2 linked regions of the Arabidopsis thaliana genome follow. The protein of the gene in region 2 interacts with the protein of the main gene of each other region in a pairwise test. Each region holds a gene or a part of one and is shown on either strand. Other genes may lie near its edges.

What was found.
Region 1: the proteins of PP2CG1 (region 2) and GOS12 interact in a protein complementation assay, tested with the Arabidopsis thaliana proteins (one large-scale study listed by BioGRID).

The regions. Positions count from the first base shown.
Region 1 is NC_003071.7:18,635,959-18,642,542, reverse strand, and holds GOS12 (golgi snare 12), read left to right. Parts: upstream 1-2,503; 5' UTR 2,504-2,902; coding exon 2,903-3,035; intron 3,036-3,425; coding exon 3,426-3,676; intron 3,677-4,144; coding exon 4,145-4,234; intron 4,235-4,348; coding exon 4,349-4,420; intron 4,421-4,535; coding exon 4,536-4,665; intron 4,666-4,756; coding exon 4,757-4,854; 3' UTR 4,855-5,026; downstream 5,027-6,584. Other genes in the region: SAUR36 (SAUR-like auxin-responsive protein family), read right to left, coding at 171-659. UniProt on the Arabidopsis thaliana protein: Involved in transport from the ER to the Golgi apparatus as well as in intra-Golgi transport. It belongs to a super-family of proteins called t-SNAREs or soluble NSF (N-ethylmaleimide-sensitive factor) attachment protein receptor.
Region 2 is NC_003071.7:14,250,458-14,257,061, reverse strand, and holds PP2CG1 (Protein phosphatase 2C family protein), read right to left. Parts: upstream 3,851-6,604; 5' UTR 2,863-3,850; coding exon 2,680-2,862; intron 2,593-2,679; coding exon 2,401-2,592; intron 2,251-2,400; coding exon 2,045-2,250; intron 1,840-2,044; coding exon 1,278-1,839; 3' UTR 1,059-1,277; downstream 1-1,058. Other genes in the region: AT2G33705 (F-box family protein), read right to left, coding at 702-911; AT2G33690 (Late embryogenesis abundant protein, group 6), read right to left, coding at 4,648-4,875; AT2G33680 (Tetratricopeptide repeat (TPR)-like superfamily protein), read right to left, coding at 5,271-6,604. UniProt on the Arabidopsis thaliana protein: Confers salt tolerance by triggering the expression of stress-responsive genes.

The sequences.
Region 1 (6,584 bases), 4.4 Mb from region 2:
GACTCTTAATAATTATTTACGTTATCAGCTTACTGTATAATTGAGACTATCACAAGAAAAGTGTAAAGTGACAAAAAGTAACAAGATTAGAAAATGGTAAATGAAAGGGAACAATATCTACAAAGAAAATAAAAGCTTGAAAATCCTAAGAACTATTTCCATAATTGTCTTCAATTGCGGCAATGACGGCCCCATGGAAATACCCGAGAACTTGACCCCGATGCGATCCGGGTCTTGACCCGTTCGAAATCTGAATACAGACAAGGAATAGTGATACCTCCTTCGTGGCAAAATCCGTACTCTTTTTCGGCTTCTCGAAGCAGCTCACCGAACAAAGGATGGTTAAAGTAAACGATGGGTACCAAAACTCTATGACAGTCGCCGTCTTTTTGACCCACGTAGATAGCTAAGTGTCCCCTTGGAACCGGGTCGGCTTTCTTATGATCAACGGGTATGTATGCGGATCTTCTCGTAGACCTGCGTCTGAAACTTTGCTTGAGACGTTGGCCCCAACTTTTGAGTTTGGCTAATGGTCTCATCAGCATGCAAGCTTGCTGGGTCGAGTGTATCCGGTTGTATCCTGAACGTTGGATCCGGGTTTTGCGAAAGATCCATCTTGAGACTCGTCTCCCGATTCTAAACCCTATGATCTTCCTCATCTTCTTATAGCTAACTTTAAAAAACAGTTTTTGTCACAAAACTACACTTTTTGAGAGATCTGAGAGGAAATAGAGATTAAGAGAGTGAGACGAGACATGGACTAACGAGTCAAATAAAGAGTGATTCATTTGAACGAGAATAAATAAATATATCAATCTTTTTTACATTTTCTTGATTTTCTCTATAAGAAAGAAAAAAAAAAAGACAATTTCTAGGGAAAACACAAATTCGAAAATGATGTGAACGGACAAAGAAGAAATGCTTTCGATGTATATAAAGTATAAACGTTAAAGAAGAAGAGATCAAGAGAAGAATGAGTGAAAGACAAGAGGTCTTTAAAGGAGTTTATATGGAGTCTAAATAAATGAACGGTTAGATGAAGACTAAGGTCTATGACCGTTGGATTAGATTAAAACTGCCATATTTCTCTTGCTTGGCAGATAGTCCAAACCCGAAGAATCTACATTAAATATGACACGTCCCATTAACCTTTAGCCTACATTTATCATTATCACTGAAACGTTTTGATGGGTTATCAATCACAAATTCACAATACGAAAAAAAACAGTAGTGTCAAACTATTATGGTATTTTAGCGTGTAATTCGTTACGCAGATATTATTATCTATGGTTGATTTTGAATCTGAAAATATGATCTATCGAAGAAAGGCCTGAAATTATTTTATTATCTGAATATGTTTTGTCGGAGCTTACATGCTTAGCATGTTTGAACTTCGAAGATGAAGACAACTATGCCACCACACGTGTGCTGGCCAAGTGGGACAAAGTTTTGAACCTATTCGGTAACACTCACACGAGATCAAATCCCCACCATCTCATTTTATAATGTCGTTTATTTATTTGTTAGTGATCATCTACTGTTTTTTAATAAGGTTAGTGCCCTAGTGATCATCTACTTGTCTGTGATTTTGTAAAAAATATATATAGAATTAAAATTATATTACGAGAACAAAATGTGTACGGTGTGTCCTCTAGTTGCGTTACTTGTGTACGTTGATGATGGTTGATATATATACATATTCATATCAGGACAAAAAAGCTTTTAAAAAGACCAATAAAGATAGATCTAGTTTTGAGTAATTGGAGGATTCACTAAGCTTTTTGGAGCTAAAATGGTGAATTTCCCACGAATCAAATCTGAGAAGAGAAGCTTTCTATATTTTGAGTTACTTTACACAATTACACGTTCATTTGTAAATTAAGATCGTGTTTGTGCTGCATCCAAAAAATTCTTGGAATTTTAAAGTAATGAAATATAACTAAACAAAATGACCACTAAAAAATAAAATAAAAAGCACATGAGAGATGAGTGATTATACTCTGATAAATTAGCTAACAAAATTATGTATATATAAAAAAGGTTTTATGCAGTGTAAATTGTACTTACACACTTAATCAAAGCAAAACAAAAATATTAAACCGACAATAATACGTAAACCAAAAAACCAATATTCCTTAAAATCAATTTGTGTTTCCAACCGACAAGTTCTTTGTATATATGGTTAATCATATTTTGTTGTAGTCCGTATCCTAGCTAAAAGACGTTTAAACGTTCATAATGGATATGACCCACCCAGCTGGTGAAGATATTCGTTTTTCGTGATCATATATATATGTTTCTTTTTGCCCATCCCTGTTTCTATTAACCCAAGTTAAATTAGCTATATATGAGCAAAAACTATGAGTTGAAGTTAAGCACAATTTCCGAATCACAAAAAAAAAACAAATTGATTTGGACCTTTCGATAATAGGAATCAGAAAGAAGTTTGTTCCAAACACTTCTCTTATATAAATCCCAACTCATCAGCTTCGTGTTTCCGTACAGTGCGTACATATACGAACGTGTCACTCGGCTTTTAACGTCAACTTAATCGAGAGCCCAATTCAGGCTTACTATAAGCCTTAATAAGCCCAATATTAAAAGTCCCTGATTATTGTGAGCCCAATATTAAAAGTCCATGACTATGGTGAGCCCAATAATAAAAGTCCATGACTATGGTGAGCCCAATAATAAAAGTCCTTGATTAAAAGGCCCATCACCAGTGGAGCGAAGAAGCGGAGGAGGGAAGAGGGATGCGATCCTCTCGTCATCGCTGGTTCCATCAGTTTCAGTGAGAATCAGATCGTCGTTGTACTGAGAGCTCCGGCATTGGTTCACGGCGGAGCTGGAGAGTTATCTAAGAACGGAGAGGTTACTGATCTGAATTGTTGAAGATCGGAAAATGACAGAATCGAGTCTGGATCTGCAGGAATCTGGTTGGGAAGAACTTAGGCGGGAAGCTCGTAAAATTGAAGGAGATCTAGACGTTAAGCTCTCTTCTTACGCTAAGCTAGGCGCCAGGTTTACTCAAGGCGGTTCGTTCTTCTTCCTTTCCGCTTGATCATGCTATCTGTGTCTTTCTTTGTTATTTCCATTGCTTTGAATGTTGCTGTTATGTCTACTATCTGAATGTGGGGGTTAGTAGTCTGTAATGTGATATAGATCTAGGAATCAATGTTGGATATGATCTCTTCACCGAATTGAATTTGATCGCCATTGTTTGCTCAGTCTATGTTATGCTTCCCCAATGCTTAATTCATGTGTGGTGTTTGGTAGAGTAAAGTTAAAATTGGTAATGTTTCTCTCAGATTCCTGTCAAAATTATTTTTCTGTGAATGACTAAGGTAAGAAGAATTTTTGTGTGTTAAGCTTACTGTTTTGCATTAGCTTTCAGTTTTTAAGAATTGCATTGTTGTATGTATCAGATACTGATCTTGTTATGAATTATGAGAAAGTATTGAAATGTGTTTTGGTTTCAGGGTATGTTGACACTGGGTCTCCAACCGTTGGATCGGGGAGATCATGGAAGTCTATGGAGATGGAAATTCAATCGTTGCTTGAGAAGTTGTTGGATATTAATGATTCCATGAGTAGATGTGCTGCATCTGCTGCACCCACAACATCGGTTACTCAAAAACTAGCAAGGCACAGGGATATACTTCATGAATATACCCAGGTTTTCTTGCACCATATTTGACTTCTTTCCTTTCTAAGCTCTTTGTTGTATTCAATAGCTATCCCCATCACGTAAGTTTATTTGTTATTTTTCGAAGTTTGAATGACATTTTGGAGAATTATAACTTAGTAATATATCGGGGATCTCAAACTTGAAAATTCTGATCATGCTATTGATGCAACAATCTTCAGCTAAATAATTTTGGTGCATTATGCATAAGGTAGATAAGTTGATAGATGCCTTTGCATAGAACAAAGTTTTGGTACTCCTATCCACTGTTTGCGTATCATGCATCAGTGATCAGTGATACTAGCTGAGTAATTGCAGTCCCATTTTGAAAAGGAAAACCCCTTTGCACTAGTGTAGATTTGTTTAGTGATACTTATGTGTGTTCTGTAGTAATATGAAATCATACGTATTATAGGGCCTATTTTTTCATTATAATGATATTTTAATGTGAACTTGTAGGAGTTTCGAAGAATAAAAGGAAATATAAACTCGTTGAGAGAACACGCTGAGCTTCTGAGTTCTGTCAGGGATGACATAAGTGAATATAAGGTAAAGATCCTATAGCCTCTTAGTTTAGAAAATGAATATTCTTATTATTGGAGATACACATTCTTCTATGCTCACATTTTGATTGGAAGTTGGGTTCTGTTTTTGCTTCTGCAGGCTTCTGGTAGTATGTCACCAGGTGTGCAAGTGTTAAGGGAGAGAGCTTCAATCCATGGAAGTATATCCCATGTAAGATACTTTCTGTAATCATGGCATTTGTAATCTGAGTGTTATATTCTGTTAATAATAGCCCACTTTGTAAGGTAATTTTCTAATGAGGATGTTATGGAGAATTTGGCTGCAGATTGATGATGTGATTGGTCAAGCTCAAGCGACAAGAGCAGTTCTTGGCTCTCAACGATCTCTGTTTTCAGATGTTCAAGGGAAAGTAAAAAATCTCGGAGACAAATTCCCAGTGATTCGTGGCTTACTTGGTATCTCTATTCAACCTCTATATGATATTCTCAACTAATCTCATTAGCCTTCTATTATCCTTAAGCAACTTTTGGTTTTTTCAATTAATAGGCTCAATTAAAAGGAAACGTTCTCGGGACACACTTATCCTCTCCGCTGTCATCGCTGCTTGTACGTTGTTTCTAATCATCTACTGGCTCTCAAAATAAACAGAATGTTCATACACCTAAGCTATAAAACGAGTTTGCCTTGACATCCCTAGATCGATTTTTTTACAAGTTTTTTCTTGCTTTTGTGTTTTTGCCATTATGTTGGGTTATATGTTTGTAGGACAATATTACACCCTGAATCATATCGTAAAAGTAAAATTCGAAACATATATTTCACAACATCAAAGATCCACCCATGTGACTTCATTCAGGTACTTACTTTTTATTACCACACGCTTAAATTCTTCAACATTGGTCCAACATACAATGTGGTCCAATACAACACATTATGCTCTGTTTTATTATGTTAGATTTTTATTACTCTCTCTTTCCCTTAGTTTGGTCCTCTCGACCACAATACTTTGTACGAAAAAGTAATCCAACTCATAAATTCATCTTTCAGCTTACATTTACATCCACTCAGGTCATAATATCTAAAGGCCTCACTCTCTTTATTTTGAGTGGGTACACACTTCACTAATGATGATCCAGTCCCTTGTATTTATTTTCCTGTCTATACTCTTATGTGCCCTACATATAGTTTCAAGAAGTGCTAATCAATGTGGTTCGTACCGGTTTAGAGATATTGTGGTGGGCCAAAGCCCACATAATAGCCAGGCCTGATTGACTTTTCTAAGTTTTCGTTCCTAATAAGTAATAACTATATGGTCAAATTATTGTGGACCTATCAAAAACAATTTGGGTTAGAAAAATATAGATGGATATAGTCTCGTAAAAGATATAGGCTAAACGAGGAAAGTAACAAAGAGTTACTCCAACGTATGATTCGTTATCTAATACTAATTATAGTTTGAATATTGCTTTTGGAGGGAGGAGATTGTAATATATTTTAGCTTTTGGCTTTTTGCTTTACATTGGCTGGACATAGGACTAGGAATCAGAGGCTCTTTTTTAAATAAAAGCTTGTTTAGATTCTGCGCTTCCCAATGGGAGACCGTTTCTTACGAATTTTCAGACAATAAAACACTCGAGAGAATCAGAAGAGGTTCAGTTTCTCTTTTTGGTTAAAAGTGAAAAAAATAATCATTATAATTTTTGTAAAGACAGTTGATATGTGATGTCTATAGACTATAGTATAGTACACTAATCAACCATTGAACCATCACCGATATTCGATTACTCACGGATCGGGGTATACAAACCCTTAGGAACAATCGGACTTATGAAACTCATGGAATTATTCTTCGTCTACGTTGGTTTAAGACTCATAATTTTTCCGTATATAATTTACCGAGATTTTTATCTGAGATTTGTAATGGTTAATATTGAGTTGGATTGTTAAATGCAACAACATTCTTATGATTGTTTACATTTTAGCGGTATATTTTTTCGTTTGTATCACATCACGTTTGAGTTACGATTTGCAGATGATGTTATGTCAAAGAGTAAATGTGTCTTTAATGTAATTAAACACAAAATATTAAAGAGGTAAACACATACATAAATGCCAAAAAGTTAAAGCAAGCTATCGTCAGTGCAATATACACATTAGTGTGGTTGAAATAGTATGGTCAAATTTAAAGTATTTAATGGGAAATTATCCTAGTAAATAATTAAATTGAAGATATATAGACTATTAACCATAAACTAATGAGGTTTTATTATGATTGATATACGAGGTGCAATTCTCGATTATCTTATATCAAAAGAGGAAGTGCAGGTCGTACTTCGAAGTTCATTTATCAGAGTTGTAATCGGGACTCATCACT
Region 2 (6,604 bases):
AAACCGTTTTGATTCTGATCATTGTGTTTGCGGCGTTAAGTAAGAAAACAAACATGTTGTAATATAACAAGAGAATTTGCAAAACTTGAATAAAAAGTATAATTTAAATTTGTTTACTTTTCTTTTATAATAACAATTCTTTCTATTCAGAATCAAACAAAAGCTACAAAGAATAATTGTAAAGCAGCGCATTACAAAAGTCTTTACACTAGAGGATGAAAATAAGTAGTATTGTTTACTACCCAAGAAAAGATGAACATTGTATTGTATAGTAACAATCTAATTAAGGTTGCTATGGAAACTTTATATATCTGTATCTTTATGTTTGTACTGTATATCTTCCTTTTGTATACATGCAGATTTTTGCTTTAAATAAGTTATACCGTGTTGGCAATGGTCTATTTAGTTCATCTACAATCTCGAAAACTACATTCTTTAGCCCAATTGTAATGTGGTTTTCACCAATGGATAAATGAATAACATAGAGCTCACCAAAGACACAATTTCCAAAGTCGCTTATCGCTCATGATGAAAAGAAGAGTAACCTTAAAACTTATAACACCATGGTTCACAAGATATTGCATGAACCAATAAGAAAAGATGAATACCATACGTACCAAGAAAAAAAAATATAGTAATCAAATAAGATAACGACTGTGCTAATCCTAAATACTTGCCATAAGCTTCAGATCCTTGGACGTCTAAATTTGCATGGAAGACGATATGATAAAGAGCAGTTCAGTGAAATATCGACTGCGGAATGTGGAATCCCATAGCTTTGATACGCAACGAAATCTCGCTATAGACTTTGCCGACAATTTCAAGAGTATCTCCAATACGAGATCGTATGGGATCTGTTCCAAGTTTACTCCTTCATTCATCGGATTCGAACAAGCTCGTGTCTTCATCATGGTAGAGACGCTTCTCTTAAACACTAAAGTCTCTTTTGTTTTCCATTTGCTAAATTGAAACAGAGATCTAAGTGTTTCTTTAAATATAATGAATATATAGGGGTTAATGTGAACTGTCCTAATAGTATGAGGGCCTAAATGCAAATAATAAAATTCTGATAAATTTTTTAATGAAAGGAATTTGGTGGAACAAGTTAAAAATTATTTACAATGGGATAATATGCATCCATCTAAAATCTCAATGGATGTTGAATACTACTAATATTGGTAACAACAACATACTCAGAACACAACATGTCAATAAACCTGTAAACACTCTCTCTAACTTGGCAATAGTCTCACAAAGTAACGTACAACATAACATGCTCACGGATAGCCATCGAGCACGCCTTTGAGTAGGTTTAACCCTTCCGCAGATATGCTCCGCCTCACCCGTGACTGCATTCGGATCTCTATCCTCTGTGGAGGATCCGGAGAGAAGCACACAACAATCACTGTCAAATTGTCACATGTATTCCGTTTAAGGGCCTCCCTCACAAGCTCTCTAGAGCATCTCTCTGGATCATTATGAATCATCAGTTCCTTCCTAGCTATTGTCACAGCGCACTGGCTGCTCATCACATCCCACAGACCATCACATCCCATTATCAAGAACTCGTCGTCTTCACTCAGGTCTGTCTCTTGCAACTCTGGCTCTGGGCTTAGCGGACAAGCAGAGCCTTTGGGACCTTTCATGTGCCAGTCTCCAATGGCACGTGCAACTGATAGTTGCCCGTTGAGGTAACCGTCATACACAACTCCACCTAACTTTTCTATTCTTACTTTCTCGGCTGTGCAGTTTGGTTTGTGATCTTTGGACAACTCAATTGCCCTACCTCTTCTCCCCAGTACTGCTCGGCAATCACCAGCATTTGCAATTATCAACCTCCTGTAAAGAAAGAAAGTAGCAATTCTATTCAAAATCACATCAAAACTACAAAGAAACATGGTAAAACAGCCCGTTACATAAGTCTTTACACTAAGCCTTATTCTCTATCTTATACACACAGGCAACCTGATAAGTATTGATGATTATACAGGTGATAACATATATAGCTTCCCAAGTTCATAAATACGAATTTAAATGCTCTTACCGTCCAAAAATAAAAGCTGTAAGCGCAGTGGTCCCAGAAGAGATGTCAAGAGAAGAATCATCTGCAAATTCATAATCAGCTTTTAAGAAAGCACTCTTAATTGCTTTCTTTACGCATAGTGGGAAGGAGGAGTCCTCTACAATGAATCTCAGAATGTTCTTTCTAACAAAGTGTGCTGCATCTGTGCCACCGTGGCCATCAAATACCTGCCAAAGGACACACAATCAACAAATGTTAGAAGAGTTTTTGAAGTAATACCTCTTATATCGTACTAGTACAAAAGAGGAGAAGAAAGAAGAATCAGGCTAGTGAATTGCTTTTATGCTTCTTTGGGTAAGATTGGAAGATAAACTCACCCCATAGAAGGCTCCAAGAGAAGAGCATTGAATAGCTGCACCAAGATGATTAACAAGATCATCGATGCAAATGTGTTCATCTTCCATGAACTGTTTTGCCCCTTGCTCAGCACAACTTCCTGATCGGTATACAGGTAGAAACTCTGATTTGTCATCAAGTGACTTCATAACCAAGTTACAAACATCCACATCCTGCGCACAAACAGAAACCAGTTACATCATTCGAATCCCATTGTAACAAAGAAAAGGAAAAAGAAAAAGCAGGGTCAAGTATATTACCGCATTGGCTGCAAGCTGCAGCCTAGTAGCACTGCTTGTGAGGTGCCTCGGAGGTTTTCCTTTACTTATCTGCCTAGTGTCATCTAAGTTCTCTAAAGTATCAATTTCTGTTGCAGAAGAAGTATTATCCTTGTTGAAATCTCCCTCAAGAACCGTTAACAAAGGTGAAAAATCCATACTCATCGGTGAGTTCTTCTCTGAATCATATAAATCTATCAGCAATCCAGACAGTCTCTTCAGGAAGCAATTCCTCTTGTGATAGCGTTTTCAAGTCTGCTGCTTTCCAAGGACTTCCTTTATTCACACTAGATCTAAGATCAATAGAGACCAACTTCAAGGATCAAACTTTGTGAGAAACAAACTTCACCAAAGACCTTGACAACTACAGCAACCTTACTTCCACAAGATCAATTTCAGATTTTGATCAAATACCCAAAATCAACAGATCCTTGATCTTGTAGCAGACTCAACAAATGAAGAAAGTGAAGAAATCCAATGGTCTTGTAGCAAGCTCCCAAACACAACTTTGTAATAGAACCAGCTCTACTCAAAGGTTTCTACTTTTTCTCAGGTCAGATCAAGTAATCGATTATCCACAAATATAACCAAAACTCAGAAGCCTATTTCAACAAAAACCCAGCTCGCAAATTTCAGAAACCTCAAAGAATTCAGCTTTGAAACTAAACCCCAAAGATCGATGAATAAAAATGAAATCTTGAAGCAGGTAGAGAATTCAGAAAGATAACAAAACTACAGAAAAAAAAGCTCTGAGATTCCCCACAGATGACAATGATGATGAATCTTCTTATTCCCTCTTAATTTTCCTTTTCTCTTACCGTAAGATCCTTTCGAAGAAATTCTCGAAAAACCCAGAAAAAGTTATGAGTTTAATGAAGAAGAAGAACAGAATTTGACGAAAGACAATTTCCAAAAGCTTTCTTTGAGAGAGAAAGATAGATAGAGAAAGAGAGAGAGAAGCTTGTCTCGTTCGGTATTTGGTTGGCCACCGGCGTTTCCAGGTAATCTCTCGTATCGTCTATCTGTCAAACCGGAGCTAAATTACCGACACGTGTCAAATATCGACGGTACGCATTACTTTGACCGGGTGGTACCGCCATAAATTCCTAACCATTAGATCTCTAAGATAGAACATCGACGGTCAAGATCGCTACCATGCAAATCTCCTTTTGTCTTTCCCAATGGCGAGGGGTTACCTCCGATTAAAAAATTAAAGTTGCGGCGTCTGATTCCCGCCATACACGTGTCGTAATTATATTGGTTTCAGCTAATGTTGCGGCTGTGTTCACATTACCGAGAAATTTATTTCCGGTTTAGGTTGATCAAAGCCGGTAGAAATCAAATTGGTAGCTAGTTGTTGCCTGTTGGGCATCATAATTAATTCATACCGATGGAAGAAGCATATTAATTTTGTAACTATCAATTACTGACTTTAATTAGAGATTTAGTGGACTAAATATTACATTTCCGTTTGATGAAACATGTTTGAAAAGAGAGAGTAAAGTTTTCAATGTGAATTCTTGAAACTTCTATTCAAACATGTTTGTTAATTGCTAGTAGTTGTTAAGGATTTGACTTTTAAGGTTCATTTTATTTCTTTTCTAATATGCTATCGATCAGACAATCAGTAGGTCACCACAACTTGTGCTACAATATATGTCATGAAATGACACGTACGAGAGTTTTCTTGACCAAATATTTTTACAAATTTGGCGTATAATTCTTCGCAAAATTCTGTTTTTCAAGGTGAGAATATACATAACGTGGGTTGTTAATGTTGCAAGATGGCCAAAATCCCTTCGACTTGACATCTATTTATTGATCTTAGATTGGATCATATCAATGGAGAAAAGGAGAAAAAACAAAAACATGTCAATTATCACAATGCGTCAAATGAATCACATTGGAGAGTAACTAAAACAGAATCAAGAGAAACATTTTGTGAGTGGTTCACTTCTTAGCTTTTTGGTTAGCGGAATCTATGGCGGAGGGAGCAGCATCACCGGAGGGGGTCGGTGCGTCGGTTGTGCCGCCGCCGTGGCCAGGCTTAACGTCCTGGTGACCGGAAGTTCCATAAGCATTCTTCTTGTAATCCTCTATATCCTCGTACTTTGTATACGGACTTGTTTCTAGTGGCAACTCTTGTTTCTCTTCACTCTTCGACATATTTCCTGACATATTTCTTGAATTTAAGTTTAGCTTCTTTTTTTTTTTCTTCCTTGTGTGTGAAGACAATATATTTGGAGACGTAAATAATTATTGTCCAAAGAAATTGCACAAAATTGGCCATCGAACTAGGGAGTGTATTTGACTAGGTTATTTCCACATTTAGCTAAATCTCAATTTCTCTTTATTTCAAAGTTCTAAAATCTAAAGCATGCATGCATTGTCTAATTTGCAATGAATGGAAACAAAACATTCAGTAATTTAACACTATATGGCATATGGTTATAAAAAGTGAATAATCATTTGGTTAACAAAAGAATTACTATTTGTGATACATTTTCACACCTAAAGTTACACTCACACACCTAAAATTAAAACCTACAATATAAAAAATTTCAACAAAAAATTTATATTATGAAAGAAGTAGATAATTGTGTTCCTTCTTCTTCTTCGACAAAAGACGAATCCAACACAGTTACGAATCCTTCTTCTATCATCTGTCTACTAACCAAACAAACCAAATCCTTCGTCTCTTCAATCATCGGATGCATTGTATCTCCCACAACAAAAACATGGTACTGATTCTTCAGCTCGATCCAACTGCAACCCACTTCTTTGCTCACCCCGTTTGCTCTCATGTGTTTCCAAACCCGTTCCACATCTCTCATCCGCCCTAAAGCCGTGTAAATGCCTGACAATTGCACATAAGTTGATGATTCTCTCGATCCAAGGGCCATGAGCTTCTCTCCTGCGTAAACTCCTAGCTCACATTTCCCATGGTTCTTACATGCGCTTAATAGTATCCGCCAAAGGCATAAACCGTGATCAATATTAGCTGATTCGATGAACTCTTTTGCCTCTTTGAGCTGTCCTGCACGGCTCAGCAGATCAACCATACAAGCATAGTGGTCAACTTTTGGATCAAGCCCGATCTGATCTGACATCATATTGAAATAAAACCAGCCTCTCTCTACAAAACCTTTGTGGCTACACGCTGATATAATGTTCACGAAAGTGACATCATCTGGTTCCATTCCTTCTGCTAACATCTCCTCAAACAGTTCCAAAGCCTCATCTCCTTGTCCATTATGGGACAAGCCTGAGATCATAGCGTTCCAAGACACAACATCTTTATTGGGAGTTCTTCTAAAGACGAGGTTCCCATCTTCTAAACTCCCACACTTTGAGTACATTGTAGAAAGTGCGCTTCCTATTGGAACTTCAAGCCCAAACCCATGCTTGATTGTGTGGCCGTGTACTTGCTTTCCGAGCTCCAAGGTAGCTAGAGAAGAGCAAGCTTTTAGAACACTTGCCATGGTTGGGTCGTTTGGGATAATACCTGCTGTTTTCATTCTGCGGTACAGAATCAAAGCCTCTTCGTTATCTGAGTTTTGAACATACCCGCTAATAAGCGATGTCCAAAGCGCCACATCACGTTCTTGTAGGCAGTCAAAACCTTTTCTGGCATCTGCTAGACAACCGGCTTTTGCATACATGTCAACCAAAGCAGTAGTTGCAAATAAATGTCTTTCAAATCCCAACTTTAACAAGAAAGAATGAAGTTGCTTCCCTTCTTCTAGATAGCAAATGTCACTGCATGCATTAAGAACCCCAACAATCGTGTATTCACTGGGCTTGATTCCAGCAGAAAACATTCTAGAGAAAAGCTTTACTGCTTCAAGTGATTCCCCATTCTGAGAATAACCAGTGACCATTGCTGACCATGTAATCGAATTTCTGT